Danio rerio: one gene and its partner. The protein of the gene in region 1 interacts with the protein of each later gene in a pairwise test. Links are inferred from orthologs where the notes say so. Each region holds a gene or a part of one and is shown on either strand. Other genes may lie near its edges.

Region 1 (8,100 bases):
TGAATATTTTTGTTTTTGACTAATAAAACTTAGTAGTGTAATTTGTTATTAGTAATTTGCCTTTGTAATGTTGGTAAATTAAAATAAAGCGGTTAAACAAAAAAAAAAAAAAAATCCTAATATTCCTAAATGGATTGTCAAAAAAAATCGTCAATAATTATCTACATCAAATGATATGAAACATGATATTGTGTTATATATTTTTTTTCAATATCACCCAGCCCTACTTGGAGCTTTGTATGATTACAGGTGAACCACTGAAGTCACAGGGAATGTTTTAACAGTATTTTTAGTTCATTTTGTGGACTTTGAAAATGTTGGGATTGGGATGTCAACGGAGGGTCAGAAAGATGTCATCTAAAAAAATCAAAAAATTTCTAAAATGAAGTTATTCTTTAAGGCACTGGTTCCCAACCTTTTTTTTTCACTGCGGACCAATAAATGCTTGACAATTTTATTGTGGCTGGGTGCACCCACCTGAGGTGGCGGGTGTTGTGATGCATGACATCCATCATCCGTTTTCTCAGAGGATGACAAGCTGACAAAACATTGCTGCAACTCTGATACAAGTTTTATTTATGGAGAAAATTACAAAGCACTGCAATGTTTGGGTGTTCTGTGGTATGATCAATACAAAGTATGAAGCTGATCGCTCAGTTCTTGTGATGTGACTCACTGTGCACTTTCGACATTCGGAAAAGTTGAGTTGTTTTCAGCTGAGTTCTCCAGGAAGGTTCTAGCGTGTCACACTGCTTAAGCGTGCGCCTCCATTGTAAATAACAAACTTGCACGCAGAAAAGACACGATATGTGAATAGCTGCCATCATTTGTGATCGAGATATTCGTGATATTCTGGATATACCTGATTTATTGACGAATTGGTTGCGGATCCATTTCTTGCCAGTTCTCGGGTCCTTCACTGTTGTGATGACCTTTTCTTACTCATTTTGCTAACTTTCTGGGTTTAAAGATTGGCGCTCAAATGTAATTTTTCAAAATAAAAGATATAAAAAAAAAAAAGATTGTTCAGACTCAGATATAAAAAATAAAACAGAAATATTTAATGATTTCTTCAGAAATATTTCATGATATTTAATGATTTCTTGATTTCTTGGCCCGGTACCAATTGATCCACGGACTGGTACTGGTTTGTGACCCGGGGACCATTGCTTTAAGGCATTAAATGAATGAGATCGCTTACATTTAATTGTGAACATTGATCTAAACTAAGTCCTAACTAAGTTTTGAGACGATGTTGAGGTTTTCTGAAAGTGGGAAATCTAAAACTTAGCTTAGTAGCAGATTCAAAACAGGACTAACATTATCTTTGTGAAACATTTGTGCACCTTAAACCTCAACATTTATTAGTTAGTTACTTAGCTACTTAGTTGCTGAGATTATCTTTGGCAGGTATTGTGTGAAAACTCTAATGATGGATGGCTGCTTCTCACTCAAGGCTGTCTATGCTTATGAGGAAGAGATTGTCACAAATGGGCGGGGCTTTCCCCCTCTGATGACACTTAAAAAGAGAGAATGTCAATCAAAGTGTTTCTCCTGACTGTGATCTATTAGCGGCTGGATATATTCACACACTGCTGCCACGCAACTGTGTTTAAACCTCTTATAAATGAGACTTTTGCATAGTAGGTTCTCTTTAAGTTACATTTTTCATTTGCATTGACTACAGGATCTCTAATTCAAGGTGAAGCAACCGAGATATTAAAACGATCTCATTTGTTTTCTTTCTTTCTTATGGATGTTTGCATCTGCCAGGTTTCTCTGAAGGGTGCACAGCGTTGATGGAATGAGGAAATGAAAACCCCTACTGAAACAGTTCCTCTGGAAAGAACATGATTCCTACTTTATTGTTTTCCACGGGTGGGGGGTACCATGAACTAACCTCACCTAGAGAAGACACAGACACTCACACGGCCACAGGCTCCATGAGGATTCATGCAGGACCAGAGAGTGCTCATGCATATTTAATATACTGCTAACTGAGAGAGGGGGGATTTGAGAGAAAAAGACAATGAGAACAACAAGAATCTCTTTCGGTCACTCATTAGTGATGTTTGCCAAGTTATCCAAACTTCCATTTGAATTATAAACTAATAAGCCTTGCAGTGTAACTCCTGTTAATGGTGTAGACATGCACGATACTATGAATCATGCAACTTATTAAAAACTGATCAATGACAATGCTACAGTTTAGGGTTGTAACGGTATGAATTTTTTACGGTATGATAATCGTAAAAAACAATACCACGGTTTGACGGTTTCGCGGTATACGGTATTAAATAGTAATTCTCATAGCAAAGACCCTGAAAAGAATAAGAACACGTTTTCTGACTGAACAAAGGTTTTTCTATGGGGAAAAAAATGCATTTATTTACTGACAATGTTTTTGCCCAAAAGGTCTGGGAATAAACAAAACAGAAAATAAGTGTTACAAAATAATAAAACAGTGAAGCAAATTTGACTTTTTCCAAATAATATATTTTCAGTTACTATAAACAACACCACTTACAATGAACAAATAAAAAAATAAGAAAATAATAAATAATGTGTCAAAGTCCAAATAAACATGGTGCAAATCCTCAGTAAAAAAGAGATATAATTATTTACTATACTATAAATAGTTACATAACGAAACTAGATTCAATATGGAACATCCTTAGGTTTTATGTGCCAGCATGGATATGGTTGTCTATGGATATGGATTTGGATTTGGTTGTCTGTGGATATGGATTTGGATATGGTTGTCTGCAATGCAGTTAAACAGCTGCATCTTCATTTGCGTCTTTTGAAAACAGCAAGAGCAGCAGTTCGTCTTTGCTGTGTCACTGTTTTGTCATGTTTCTGTGCTGCTGTGCATGCAAAAGTACTTAGTATGAGAATTATTTCATGCAAAACTTTTTTTTTTTTTGCGTTTTATTTAGCCGCGCATAAATGTATGCCTATCTCTCATTCCGTGTTGTTCAAAAAGCTCAGTGTTGGTCCACAAACAAAAGCGAAACCTATGCTTATTGGTTGTGATATAGCGAGTTTGAACCAATCTGGGCATGGAGGAGGGACAATGCATCAATGTATCATGTCTGGTTTGTCCGGAGACACAGTGACGAGCGTTTCTTTGTCAAATCAGCGTTGTCAAATTTTGATGACGTAACCGCACTGATTCCGGAGCCTCTGAAAGTCGGCGAATGTAATGTGATACAGCACTGGAAAGCTGAGATTCTCTTCTTTATGCCAATCTTTGAATTGTATGAATGGGATCAGCGGATCAAAAGTTATTAAACATTTAAGAGCAATACTTATTTTTAGCCGCGGGCGGCTGTCTCAGTCTTTAAGGGTTAAAACCGTTGATATGCAATTGTTCATGGTATGATAATCGTGCACGTTCAAATCGAGGTAGACCGTCATACCGGTATATTGTTACAACCCTACTACAGTTATAAGCTGACTAATAATTAAATGGAATTGTTCGAAGTAAGCAACTACTGTAACAATCATCAAGAACCTTCTAACAATGACCTTAAAACATTACAGCAACTGCAAACAACAAGGAACAAAAGTAGTAACATATCTTGTCCTTGGTAGTATTTTTTCTTTTAAATATGTCTAATAGACACCCAAAGATAGACATCTTGGCTAAAATAAGGCAACATTTTGTTTGTCAGTGAACATAGATGTCTAATAATAGATCTAAATAAATCCAAAGCTGGATATCACATTAAACATTGGTGAATAAAGCACTGTCAAAAACAATAAAATCCACACTTGCTGTTATGAACCCTTTTTTTAATCAAATCTAAATAATTAATTCATAAAGGGAACGCAACATAAAGAAGACTTTAAATTAATAAATTTATTACAACCAAAACAATCAAACAAATCGTGTCACAACTGAATCAGCATGAATAAGGAAACAATAACTCACGTTCTCCAACACATATACAACACTAACCAAAGTAGGGGTGTCAAAATTAATTGTTTCTTCGGTGCACTGTGATGCAGACGCGGACAATAAGGTATCATAATTCAGTAATAATCATAATAGGTTATTATGTACTGACGTCATTTATCTCCTATGCGCTCTGTCGTGAGGGAGGTGAGCGCGAGTATTTAAAACACTCAGCCAACTCAGGGCCGGCCCGTGGTATAGGCACCATAGGCAAATGCTAAGGGCGCTGTATATCCAGGGGGCGCCAGAAATGAGCGCGGTTCAGTTGGTTTTGTTTTCGATATTCCTGACACACATTCAGTTATAGCGGCAATAACTCAACCCCCCCCCCCCCCCAAAAGTTTAGCCTACTTGAATGAATCATTCACAAGAGATATATCATACTTACTTACTTTAAGTCCACTTGTGCAATGGTTTGGGCCAGAAAAGTACCACTCACATTTTCTCCAAACATGTAAAAATGTAGTTTTTGTCATGTTCCCTAAGAGGTTTCTTCAACCCTGCTCTGTAATGAATGTTAGTCACATTCTTGAGGGTACAATAATGTTTGAGTGCTAAAAAAACCTGCTCAGAGAGTTCAGCACTGCAGGACAGGAGACTGCTGTGTTCAGCACTCACACTTACACAGATGAAAGTGTAGGGTAAAGCCAGCTAAGACGAACAGACTGCTGCAAGAAGAGCTGCTTGGTTAATGCTTTTAGAGCGTTATATTTCACTGGGAGAGAGGGCAGTGGACAGAGGGAGATAAACACTGTGATGCTTGATGGAGGTGGTCGCTCAGGCTGAAATAGCATGCTTAAAAGAATAGGTGCAAATGTAAGCTTTAGGGCTTTATCATTATGCCGTCTGGAATGCTTAATGCTGATTAGAAATTTGCAGAATTCCAAGGTATGTTATCCCAAGATAACAACTGCTAAATAACAAAGGCTGATCTGGAAACTTCGAATCATCAAGACCATCAATGAATATGGTGCCATCTTTTTATGAGCGAATAATACATAGATTAGTCTAAGTTTCATCCAGCCGGCTTCATTTCTGTCAGCTTTTACGTTTTTGACTGTTTGCCCCTATCTCGTGACGGAATGATGCGCAGGTTAATGTATGCTCCATCAGCTGCCTTTGTTTCTGTCCGCTTTCCATTTAATTAAAGATTTAATAAAGTATTACGGCTCAGAACAGTATTTTGTGTCTAATTTTAAAGTTTTATGGCAAGTAGCCGGGTAATAAGCGCGATAAAGTACACCCAGGATAGTATCGCAGAACAAAGCACTTCTGTCTTATACAACAATGTTGTTGTATGTCACATCTTAAAGCTGCACTTTATGCCTAACTTAAATTAAAATGACTTTAATTTTCTTTTAAAAGTTTCACATTTTTAAGCCACTACAGAATGAAATTCAATGTACTCAGGAGGATTTATGGAAAACTAAACACTTAAAATAAAACAGCAGTACTTGTAGCCGATATAAGATTCAGTCAGAAGTACAAAGTCAGCAATAGATACAGCATTTCTATAAAATTTATATGAAGCTTAACTACGATTTTAGCCAAAAAACACAAATTCACTCTTGTTGCAAACCTTTGTTCCTTTCTTCTGTTGAAAACAAAAAATATCTTGTAGAGGTAACACTTTATAATAAGGTTCATTAGATAATGCATTTACTAACATGAACTAATCATGAACAACACATGTACAGCATTTATTAATCATAATTGAACATTTACTAATGCATTATTAACATCTAAGTCCATGCTAGTTAACATTAGTTAATGCACTATGAGTTAACATGAACTAACAATGAACTACTGTATTTTCATTAACTAACCTTAACTAACATGAACAAATACAGTATTAAATGTGTTGTTCATTGTTTGTTCATGTTAGTAAATGCATTAATTAACATTAACTAATGAACCTTATTGTAAAGTGTGACCCTTAAAGAAAGCTGGAACCAGTGACTTCCATAGACGGAAAAAAAAAAATACTAAGGACGTCAATGGTTAAGGTTAGTCAAAGTATCTTATGGTGTATTCAACAAAAAAAAAAAAAAAAAAAAAAAAACTATAAGGATGAGTAAATTAAGATTTATATGGGAACTATACCTTCAATACAAAGCATTGTAGATCAGAAGTGTCAAGTTTTTATGTTTGTATCTTTATACAGTCCCGAACATCATGAAGCTCCTGAACAGGTGGATTGATGTGCTGAGAGGGTTATAAAGCTTTGCTTCTTCTCTCAGACTGTTATAAAGCACAGAGAAGTGTTAAAGATGGTTCCTAATGATATGAGCCTCCTCATGTCTGGCCAGAAAGCACAATGGTCTCCCCATTGACCAACTCGGCCAAAACTACCATATATTTCTGCTTTCTGGGAACATCTGGAAAAACTATTCCTCCTGAGGAACCATTCCCTCTCTCTCTCTCCCTCCCTCACTCTCTCACTTTCTTTCTCTCTCCCTCTTGTTAAAGTCCTATGGGAAGATGTCTCAGAGATAAGTAACATGCAGCTGGTTTCCAACCAAAAACAAGTGTGTGTTTGTGGAACAGGGGCTCCTGAAGAAGTCTGGTGTGATATGAGATCTGCTTCACATATTCTCAAAGAAGGAAAGAAAACGAGCAGCACTTCGGGATGATGAGGATGTTGGGTGGAAAACACTCTCAGTTGACTAAGAGCACTTTGGCTGTCATTCATGCACTCATCAGTGATCTGCGTTTGAATCGAGTCAGCCAGCCTTTACTTCATTCTCGGATGTGTGAATAGTGTGTGTATTTTTGGGATTGTGCTGGAGTGGAACACAGCTGGTGTATTAATGAACGCACCAGGAGCATTGGCACCGTAAACCATACGGCTGACTGCCAGCAAGAACTAACTGTAGCGTTTAAGAATGGAGGCAAAGAAACTGTCAGAGCCAGGGTCACACAACCTGATCTGTTACTTTTAAACACACATTGAGGCGATTCACGTTTTTCTTTTCCAGTACGCTACTTTTCTATTGTTTGTAATTGTGCTTAACGGATGTGTGTAGATGGTGCACTCATGTTTCACAACTTTTGAAGCACCAACCTCATGAATGCTAAATTATTTAGACACTGTGTTAAACGAACCAAAGCTTTCACATGCAGTGCTGCTCATCACTGTCAGTTCCAAAGCAGTGGACCAATCAGAAGAACACAGAGACAGAGATGTTGCAAGGTTCTGTTTACAGGCGCTCAGATGCTGTGCAAGCTTACCATTAAGTTCTTAATCCTGTGCTTTTTTTTTCAAACCATACTGAAGTATTGCATCTCGCATTTTTAGAAGCTTAGACACATTCAATGTGCTCATTAAGTGCTTTTACAAATGGTCCCTAAAGTTGCCATAGTTTTTCGAGTTAGGGTCCAGTCTGATTATTTTATAATAAATACATTACATCACTGTCCTCGAAAAACAACCAAAAAAAAGTAATTGTGTGCGTTTATGTGAATGGATAAAGGCACGTAGTGAACATGTCACGGTTCAGGAAGGATGAGGGAGCGAGGACTCAAGTGCAAACACAGGATGATTTATTGATAATAAAAATAAAACAAAAGAACAACAAAAACCACCCCGAAGGGGAAAAACATAGCTATAACACTAACAAACTTGACTGGGTTGGCACGACAAGAACAAGAGCAGGAACACATGGGGAGTTTAGATGACAAACTGGCACTGGACTGAAAACATGAGGGGATTATAAAGCAAAAAGTAAATTGACACAAACAGGTGAACATGACAAACTAATAATGAGTAAACAAGGAGGGTGGGACTAGACAATAGACGGGAGAGCGCGCGACACAGAGAGACAACACAAGCCATGCGCTCACATAAAACAGGACAAGAACATGCAGCCAATGAGAGAACTCATTAACCGCATGTTCATGACGAGACAAGCACAACACTGAAGCACACGACAAAAGCACGTGACCACAATGTAAACACAGAGCCACGTGCTTTGACAACAGACGCAAGACACGAGCACATGATGAATGAAAACACTCACCGTGCGCTCACACACGCAGCGTGCATGCTTCATCCCAGCGCCGACCAAAACCGAAACCAACAAGACTGAGACGCTGGGAATGAAACACCACGCTGCAGACAGACAAAAACACAAACACGA
Region 2 (8,118 bases), on another chromosome or scaffold:
TACATTAATATAGCTCTTTTCTAGACGCTCAAATCGCTTTACATAACGGAAGGGGGACTCTCCTCATCCATCACCAGCGTGCAGCATCTACCTGGATGAAGCGACGGCAGCCATATTGTGCCAGACCACACACCACACACCAGCTGATTGGTGGAGAGGAGACAGCGTGATGAAGCCAATTATCATATGGGGATGGTTGGGAGGCCATGATGGGCAAATTTGGCCAAGTGGGCAAATTTGGCCAGGATGCCAGGGTTAAACCCTTACTCTTTTTGAAGGACATCCTGGGATTTTTAATGACCACAGAGAGTCAGGACCTCGGTTTAACATCTCATTCAAAAGACAGCACTCACTGAGCAGTATAGAATCCCCCATCAATATACTGGGGTTTTAGGACCCACATAGATCACAGATTGAGCGCCCTCTGCTGGCCTCACTAACACCTCTGCCAGCAGCAACCCAGCTTTCCCATATGGTCTCCCATCTAGGTACTGACCGGACAGGACACAGCCTTGCATAGCTTCAGCGGGCAACCATGTGAGAGCTGCAGAGAGCTAGCTGCCAGATATTTCTCAATTATACAACAACAACAACAACAATAATACTATCAATTTGAAGAACATTCTCTTAATATTACAGACATTTTCTAATTCACTATTAAGTAAAACTGGATATTCAGCAAAAATCATCCACTTAAAACTAATGCTTAGCAAGTTACACTGTAAAAAATCTCTGTAAATGATCAGTTTTCTGTATTTTGTGATTCATGTTTTTATTTTCTCCCATTTATTTATGTTTGTGACTTGCATTAAGGTACCTTAAAAAGTTCAAAAATGTGACTTTTGGTAACATTTTGAATAGTTTAAAGTGATATTGTCTGGATGGTGATGTATATTACGCTACAAAAACCTTGTAATAAACTGGCAGTACATTTTCTGCTATTTTGCAGACGTATTTCTCTACATAATATTTCTTATACATTATATTATTTCAAACTACTAAAATGTCAATAAAATTGACTTTGTTAAACTGTAGAGTTACATTTTCAACATCAAAAGTAGACAGAGCAAAGATCAAGCTCCCATAATGCAATTCACAACCGTAAATAAATGGAAAACACTTGTGAATCACAAAATACGGAAACTATTAATTAACAGATATTTTTTACAGTGTAGTTAGTTAGTTAGTTAGTTAGTTAGTTAGTTAGTTAAGATTGTGGAACAGCTAAATGAAATCCTGAACAGCAATAAAATCAGGTTTATTTTGCTGTTGTTTGAGAAGAGCACTGGTGAACCCGCATGTCTCTGTTCTGGCTCATGTTAAAGCAAAACACACATTATCGCTCAGAACATCTTCGTTATGAAAACACAACCTCGCACACCTCTGTGTGTGCTGAAGTTGCATTTTGCACATAAGGCTTAACTAGCAGAGCCAGATTCATGCTTGGCATTTTATTTTCCTAATTACAAAACAAAGTTTAAAGTTTTATACACTACCAGACTTCTGTCTTGTCGCCTTTTACAATTTTAGAAACAACTAATAATAACTTGACTTCTAGTCGATCATTTGGTACCAGAAGTGGCTTATATGAAAGGCAAAGGCCTCTAGATTGTGCTTATTTTACCAAAATAAAATATGACCATGCCTTGATTTTTAATTATTTAATTAAGGTCTTAAATATATATATAAATTTTTTTGTAATATTATTATTTTTTTCTCAATATATAAAAAGTTATATTTTTATTCTATTACTAATTGGGTATTATTAAAACTTTACATTATTTTGTCTTATCCCTGAAATATATATACATCTGTGTGATTTAAAAAAAGCCAATAAATAAATAAACAAATAAATGAATAAATAAAATAAATAATATAAATAATTATTGTATGATTGAGCAGAGCTATTAATATATTTAAAAAACATAAAAATCAATAAAATGTTCAATAAGTAAACAAATAAATACTTAAATAAACAGCATGCATCATAATCATTTATTGTAAAATTCAACATTGCTCTTAATATCTTTAAAGAATCTAAAAAAATACATAAATGTCATAAATTGTACAATTTATTTTATTAATGTATTTAAATAACCTAACATAGTTTAATCAATCAATCAATAAATAAACATGTCATCATTACTGTAAAATTTAAAGTTACAAATAAAAGTTCAAAGTCATTTAAAAAGTTAAAAACAAATGCATAAACATATATATAACCCAAACATAAAACAAAATTAAATAGAACAAATATAAAGTAAAACTATATAAAATAAAAATAATTTTAAAAAGTAATTATTGCAGATACTTCTAGACAAAATATATCCGCTATAAAGTTTTAGAGCTTAATCCATGATATGTTAAAATGTTAAAGGAGCATAATCAGTATTAATTGTTTTAATTACTTTTTTATTTTTAGACATCATATATGTATAGATGATATGATAATCACTTTTTAGCATTTATGAATGAAAAATTAACATCATAATAAAATAAAGTTTCTAATAAAACCAGCATTCTATAAAGAGGACATAATAAGCCCAAAATCACATGTTTAGATGATAATGAATGTTTTTAAAATAGGAGCGATAAAACTTCCACAGGCATCACGGTGGCGCAGTGGGTAGCACGATTGCCTCACAGCAAGAAGGTCGCTGGTTCGAGAATCGGCTGGGTCAGTAAGCATTTCTGTGTGGAGTGTGCATGTTTGCCCTGTGAACCCGTGGGTTTCCTCCGGATGCTTCGGTTTCCCCCATAGTCCAAAGACATGCGGTATAGGTAAATTGAGTAAGCTAAATTGTACGTAGTGTATGAGTGTGAATGTGTGAGTGTATGGATGTTTCCCAGTGATGGGTTGCAGCTGGAAGGGTATCCGCTGCGTAATACTGAATAAGTTGGCGGTTCATTCTGCTGTGGCAACCTAATATTAATAGAGGGACTAAGCCGAAAAGCAACTCCCTTTTTTTTCTTCTTCCATTTCAAAAAACTTGCAATTCTAGAAACTTCAACATTGCTCCAAATATATCGAGTATATCAAAAGTACCAAAGTAAATCTTATGTTGAGCATATAAAAAATTGAGTATATCAAAAGTACCATAATAAATGTTAGATTTTTTTTATATAAGTCAATAAAAAATAATTTTAAAAAGTCCGGTAAATGACCAAAAAAAAAAGCTAATAACCTCAAAAACCTGAAAAAAATCGATTCGCTCATCATTCGACTGCTTACCTCATCGTGTGGCAGACCCGACTAATCAATCCGCGTTGTTGACTTGTTCGATCTCGGATTTCCTGGTCAGATGAGAGCACGGGAAACACCTCAGCTAAACATCACTCTGACTCTGTAACACAGCAGAAGTCAATCATTAGCATAAACCAACTGATCTATCCTACTGAAGGACTACATTCGAGTTCTCCGTGAGTTTTCCCCCCTGTCTCAGTCTTGAAGATGTCTGCGTCCGCTGGCGGTGCTGGATCACCGGGATCGGGCCTCTCCGCCGGCCCGGCTGCGGCTACCGGCTCCGGTATGTCCATGTTCCGGTGGCTGGAGGTGTTGGAGAAGGAGTTTGACAAGGCATTTGTGGACGTGGATCTGTTGTTGGGAGAGATCGATCCGGATCAGGCTGATATCACGTATGAGGGCCGCCAGAAGATGACCAGTCTCAGCTCGTGTTTTGCTCAGTTGTGCCATAAAGCACAAACCATCTTCCAGCTCAACCACAAACTGGAGGTAAAGAGAATAGATTAAACTAGATCAATATATTGAGGTATAGTTGGTTTTATGTTAACACATTCGTTCATTTTTGAACACTGACAACTAGTGTCACAGTTCCTATTTTGTGTTCACCATGCTACTTTAAATATTCGGTCTGAAATCGCATGTAAGTATGACTTCAAAACAACATTAGCAGCACCAACCGACTCTGAACAATGTTGTGCTTTAATAGTCATTTATTGGCTGCTAATATGATTTCCCTATTTTGAAACTTCAAAAGATACTTTTCTAAAATTCTATTATTTTACTCATAACAGATTTTTATAAGTACAAAACAGAACAAAACATTTACACAATCATTTTATACAAGTGATAAGAAAAAATACACTGTAAATCTAAAAAGTTAAGGTAACTCAAACTGTTTGAGGAAACTGATTTCAACATACCATTTAAGTTCAGAAACTAATCCTAATGGGTACTGTGATCTTAATCCATTTGTGTAATGAAGCAATTTGAGCACAGTAAAACCCAGTAAAAAAAGAGAACTCAAACCAACTTAGTACTGTAAAAAAACAATAAATTAAAGCGACTCAAACCGTTTTAGGAAACCGATTGCAATAAAGCATTTGAGTTAAAAACTAATCTATGAGTACTGTGAACTTCCTCCATTTAAGATGAAGTAATGAGGTTTAATTAGCTCAATATCTTCAACGCCTAGTTCAAAACTCTTTTCAAATGAACTTGCAGTACATTTTGAGTTAGCTACACTCATTTTGCTTGATAAAGTTGACTGTTTTACAGTGTGCAGACAAACTGACAAAAACCAGTCCATCCAAACATGCTCCATATAGAGTAAATCATATACACTATTAGGTGTTACTTGATCAAACTCAAAACATTAAAAAATGGAGTGGAAAAGAAAGAGCAAAAATGTCCAAGAATCCTACTTACAACTCTTAAAAAAAGAAATGCAAGGAAGAAGCCCCAGATTTTTCAAGCTGTTTAGAAGCATCTGCCCTAGCAAAACAAATTCTTTCAAGCTTAAAGGGCCATGAAACCCCCTCGTTTCAGCAGGGTGTTTTCACACCTCTTCTTTGGAAAAAGTCAGAAAAGTGGGCGTGTCCAGATCTGTTTAGGGGGGAGTGTCGGAGGAACTAAAGTGGGAGGGTGTGGGAGTGTCGATTTGGGCACGCGCGAGTTTCAGAGTCAAAATACACACACACACACACACACACACACATACATACAGGAGAATGTGATGGTGTTTAACCTACATGGACATCTGTAGTCGAATTATTAGCCAAATTATTAAATGGTGGACTTTAACTGCAGTTTGGCTCTTTCATTCAGGGAATTCATTCATGTCCCTCGCGACACACGAGACATTTGATTCGAGGAGCTGCTCTAAGCGTGTATTTTTCATGCAATGTTTTATACCGCACGGCGAATGAGAGAAAAAAACCCTCTGCATTTCCCAGAAACTTAGATGCACACGACAGGTAGTGTCAGAAAGCCGCGCGTGTTATTCCGGTCACTAAATGCGGTAAAAACCCTACACGAGGTTAAAGTTTGGTTGTGGTGCTAACGTGTTTACACTCTGTGCAATAGTTTGTTAGATACGAACAAACTGAATAAACAAAGAGCACTGGTCGCTCACTTACCAAATCTGTAGAGACAGGACAATCACCAGCAACTAGAGCCGCGTCTTTATGAAGAGAATACTACAAACGATTCCAGATCTCAGCGTTTGCAGATGAGAACAGCTCTCAGGTAAACAATAATCCTCCTTAGACACGTAAGTTATTGTTGTCGCGCGTCGCGTACACTGTAATCCACACGTGAGTCTGAGCTCTCACAGAGAGAAAATGAAAACGAAACTTAACTGCAGCAAACTATAAAAGCAACACTTCACGCTTGTTTTGCCAACACAACATGGCGTCTCTGTCCTGAAAACACGGTGATAGTAATGAATATTAATGAAGTTGCACAATAGAGTGCGCTGATTGGTTTGACCCAAGCCTTACTCATGCATTAATGTATCACACTGTAAGACGTAATAAGACTCACTCAGGCACAGACATCCAGTCTGCACGCTGGAATACACGCTATTATGTCATGACCGTGACGCAGCTTCAAAAATTCGTTTCAAACAGGAAGTACGAATTTGCTTAAAATAACGCAAAAACAACCAATTTACACTTTTTAGTGAAATATAGGTGTCCTAATAGTGTTTTTAGCAGTGTGGGACACATATACGACTGTCAACAGCTCAAAAAATGTGTTTTGGTGTTTCGTGACCCTTTAAGAACAATTTTAGTCAGCCATTTCTGAAGTAAGTAGGTGGTAGAGTGGACTTCCAATCCATCAAGATCACCCTTTTAGCCACCACCATACCAAACATAATAGACATTTGCTGATTATTTGACCATGCTAACAGGGTCACAGCATCCAAACAGGGCTAATTCAATATCTGGACTAAAGTTTTCTCCTAAAACATTTGAATAAAACAGAAAATTATTCTCTGGGATCTCAGGGCAAACCCAAAAAATATGAGCATACGGTCCATCTGAACTTTTGCATCTGTCACATAACAGGGAAACTGAAGGGAGCATTTTTATTGAGATTAGTTTTGGTATAATGTTGCCTATATTTACCACTTCAAACTGTAGGAGTTGCAATCTAGCGTTGATAGAACAGGTATGAATTCGCTTCAGCCCCTCTTCTCAGGTATCAATTGAAATGTTAACTCCAATATCTTTTTTCCATGACAATTTATGGTGATCAGAAGACAAAGCAAATTGGCAGACAAAGAAAGAAACAAACTGCGTTACCAAATGTTTGGCCATAGGAGGTTTACACAAAAGATTGTATATATTATGGTCCTGTGGCAGTTCTTGAAACTCAGTTAAAGAATGTTTTATGTAGTGGCGCACCTGTAAATAGTGGGAAAATGGTGACTGAGAAAGATTAACAGCTTTAAACAGGTGTTCAGATGAAACAAATTTCCCATCTATATAAAAATCTTTGACTCTGGTGTCTGGTTAATCCTTTGTTTCTCCATTGTAAAAATATCTTATCTGACTGGTCAGGTAAAAAAATATTACTAAAATTATGTTATTAAGGAACATGTGCAAATATGAAACTAACACCGATGATTAAAACATGATCAGTCAAAGTCTAGACAAAGTTGTTAATCTTCTATTTACTAAATGTTTGCAATGTGCTTTGAATGCTTTGCTCTGGGTGAGCTTTAGTTTGGCTTTTCCTACTATGGAAGCAAATGTTTGCAGATTTTCAGCTTTCTTCAAAATATCTTCTTTAGTGTTCTTCATCAGGATAAAGAAACTCATTAAGGTATGGAGAATAAATAGTGGGTAAATTTGAAGTTTTAAGAACTGACTAATTGTGGAGTGTATAAATTGTAGCGTTTAGTTTTTAATCTATGACTAGTTCATTTAAGGTTATGAAAATCCTGTGTATATTTAGCTAAATTTTTTCAGTTATTATGAATGAGCCCTCTACTGTATTTAGTATTTATTTGTCTGAAACGTATGTTTATTCAAGAATATTAGGAAGCATTATACAAGCTTTTATTTGTAAACATTAATTATTACATTACTAAAAATGAATAATACTTGTAAATCATTTGTTATTCGTAGGCATTGACAACATTTAACTGTTCAGATTAGCTACCGACATGAAAGAACAGTTGTAAATCTATTTACAAAGATTGATAAGATTTATAAATATAGTAACAAATATATTGCACATAATAGCAGCAAGCTAAATTAGTTAAGCTTTATCTGTATATATTGGAGTGAAATCTCAATGATTGTGGATCACAATCAATTATTTTAGCCTTTAAAAGTGGACATTAGATTGAATAATGTAATGTTCTTAATGCATAGTAAATTTACTATGGCTAAACAGATATAGCACTAGTAAATCTATTATTATAAAGTGCTCCTGAAAATGATTATGGTGAAATCACAATTTCCTATAAAATCGTGGATTTGGCAATAAGGAATGTGAATCATAATAAGATTTTGTGCAACTTAATTAATGCAAATTCAAGATGGAATTGGTTGTTTGTTATTAAAGTGCAGTGCTTTTATTAAACAGAACCAATTTAATATGCAATAAAACAAACAGAATGATCAGAACCCTTGCAATATATGCATATTTAGAGTAGAAGTATTATATCTGAATAGGTAAAATTTGGGTTTTTATGATGGATGTTTGAAAACAACAAAACAATGCCAATGAACTGGATGAAACTTGCATATTTTGCTGATTACTACTGCTGGAAATGATCAATTATTGTCATGTTTTGGCCGGCACTAATTGGTCAGACCAGAAATATTTTTTTTTTAGAATACTAAACATTGACAATTTTTAAT

What was found.
Region 2: the proteins of mylka (region 1) and gopc interact in binary tests that used the Homo sapiens proteins (3 or more experiments, as listed by UniProt). The two-hybrid records come from large-scale screens. The link is inferred for Danio rerio from reciprocal best matches to the Homo sapiens genes MYLK and GOPC.

The regions. Positions count from the first base shown.
Region 1 is NC_133184.1:4,195,111-4,203,210, forward strand, and holds the start of mylka (myosin light chain kinase, smooth muscle), read right to left. Parts: upstream 4,578-8,100; 5' UTR 4,350-4,577; intron 1-4,349. UniProt on the Homo sapiens protein: Calcium/calmodulin-dependent myosin light chain kinase implicated in smooth muscle contraction via phosphorylation of myosin light chains (MLC). Also regulates actin-myosin interaction through a non-kinase activity.
Region 2 is NC_133195.1:45,539,710-45,547,827, forward strand, and holds the start of gopc (Golgi-associated PDZ and coiled-coil motif-containing protein), read left to right. Parts: upstream 1-3,314; 5' UTR 3,315-3,451; coding exon 3,452-3,733; intron 3,734-8,118.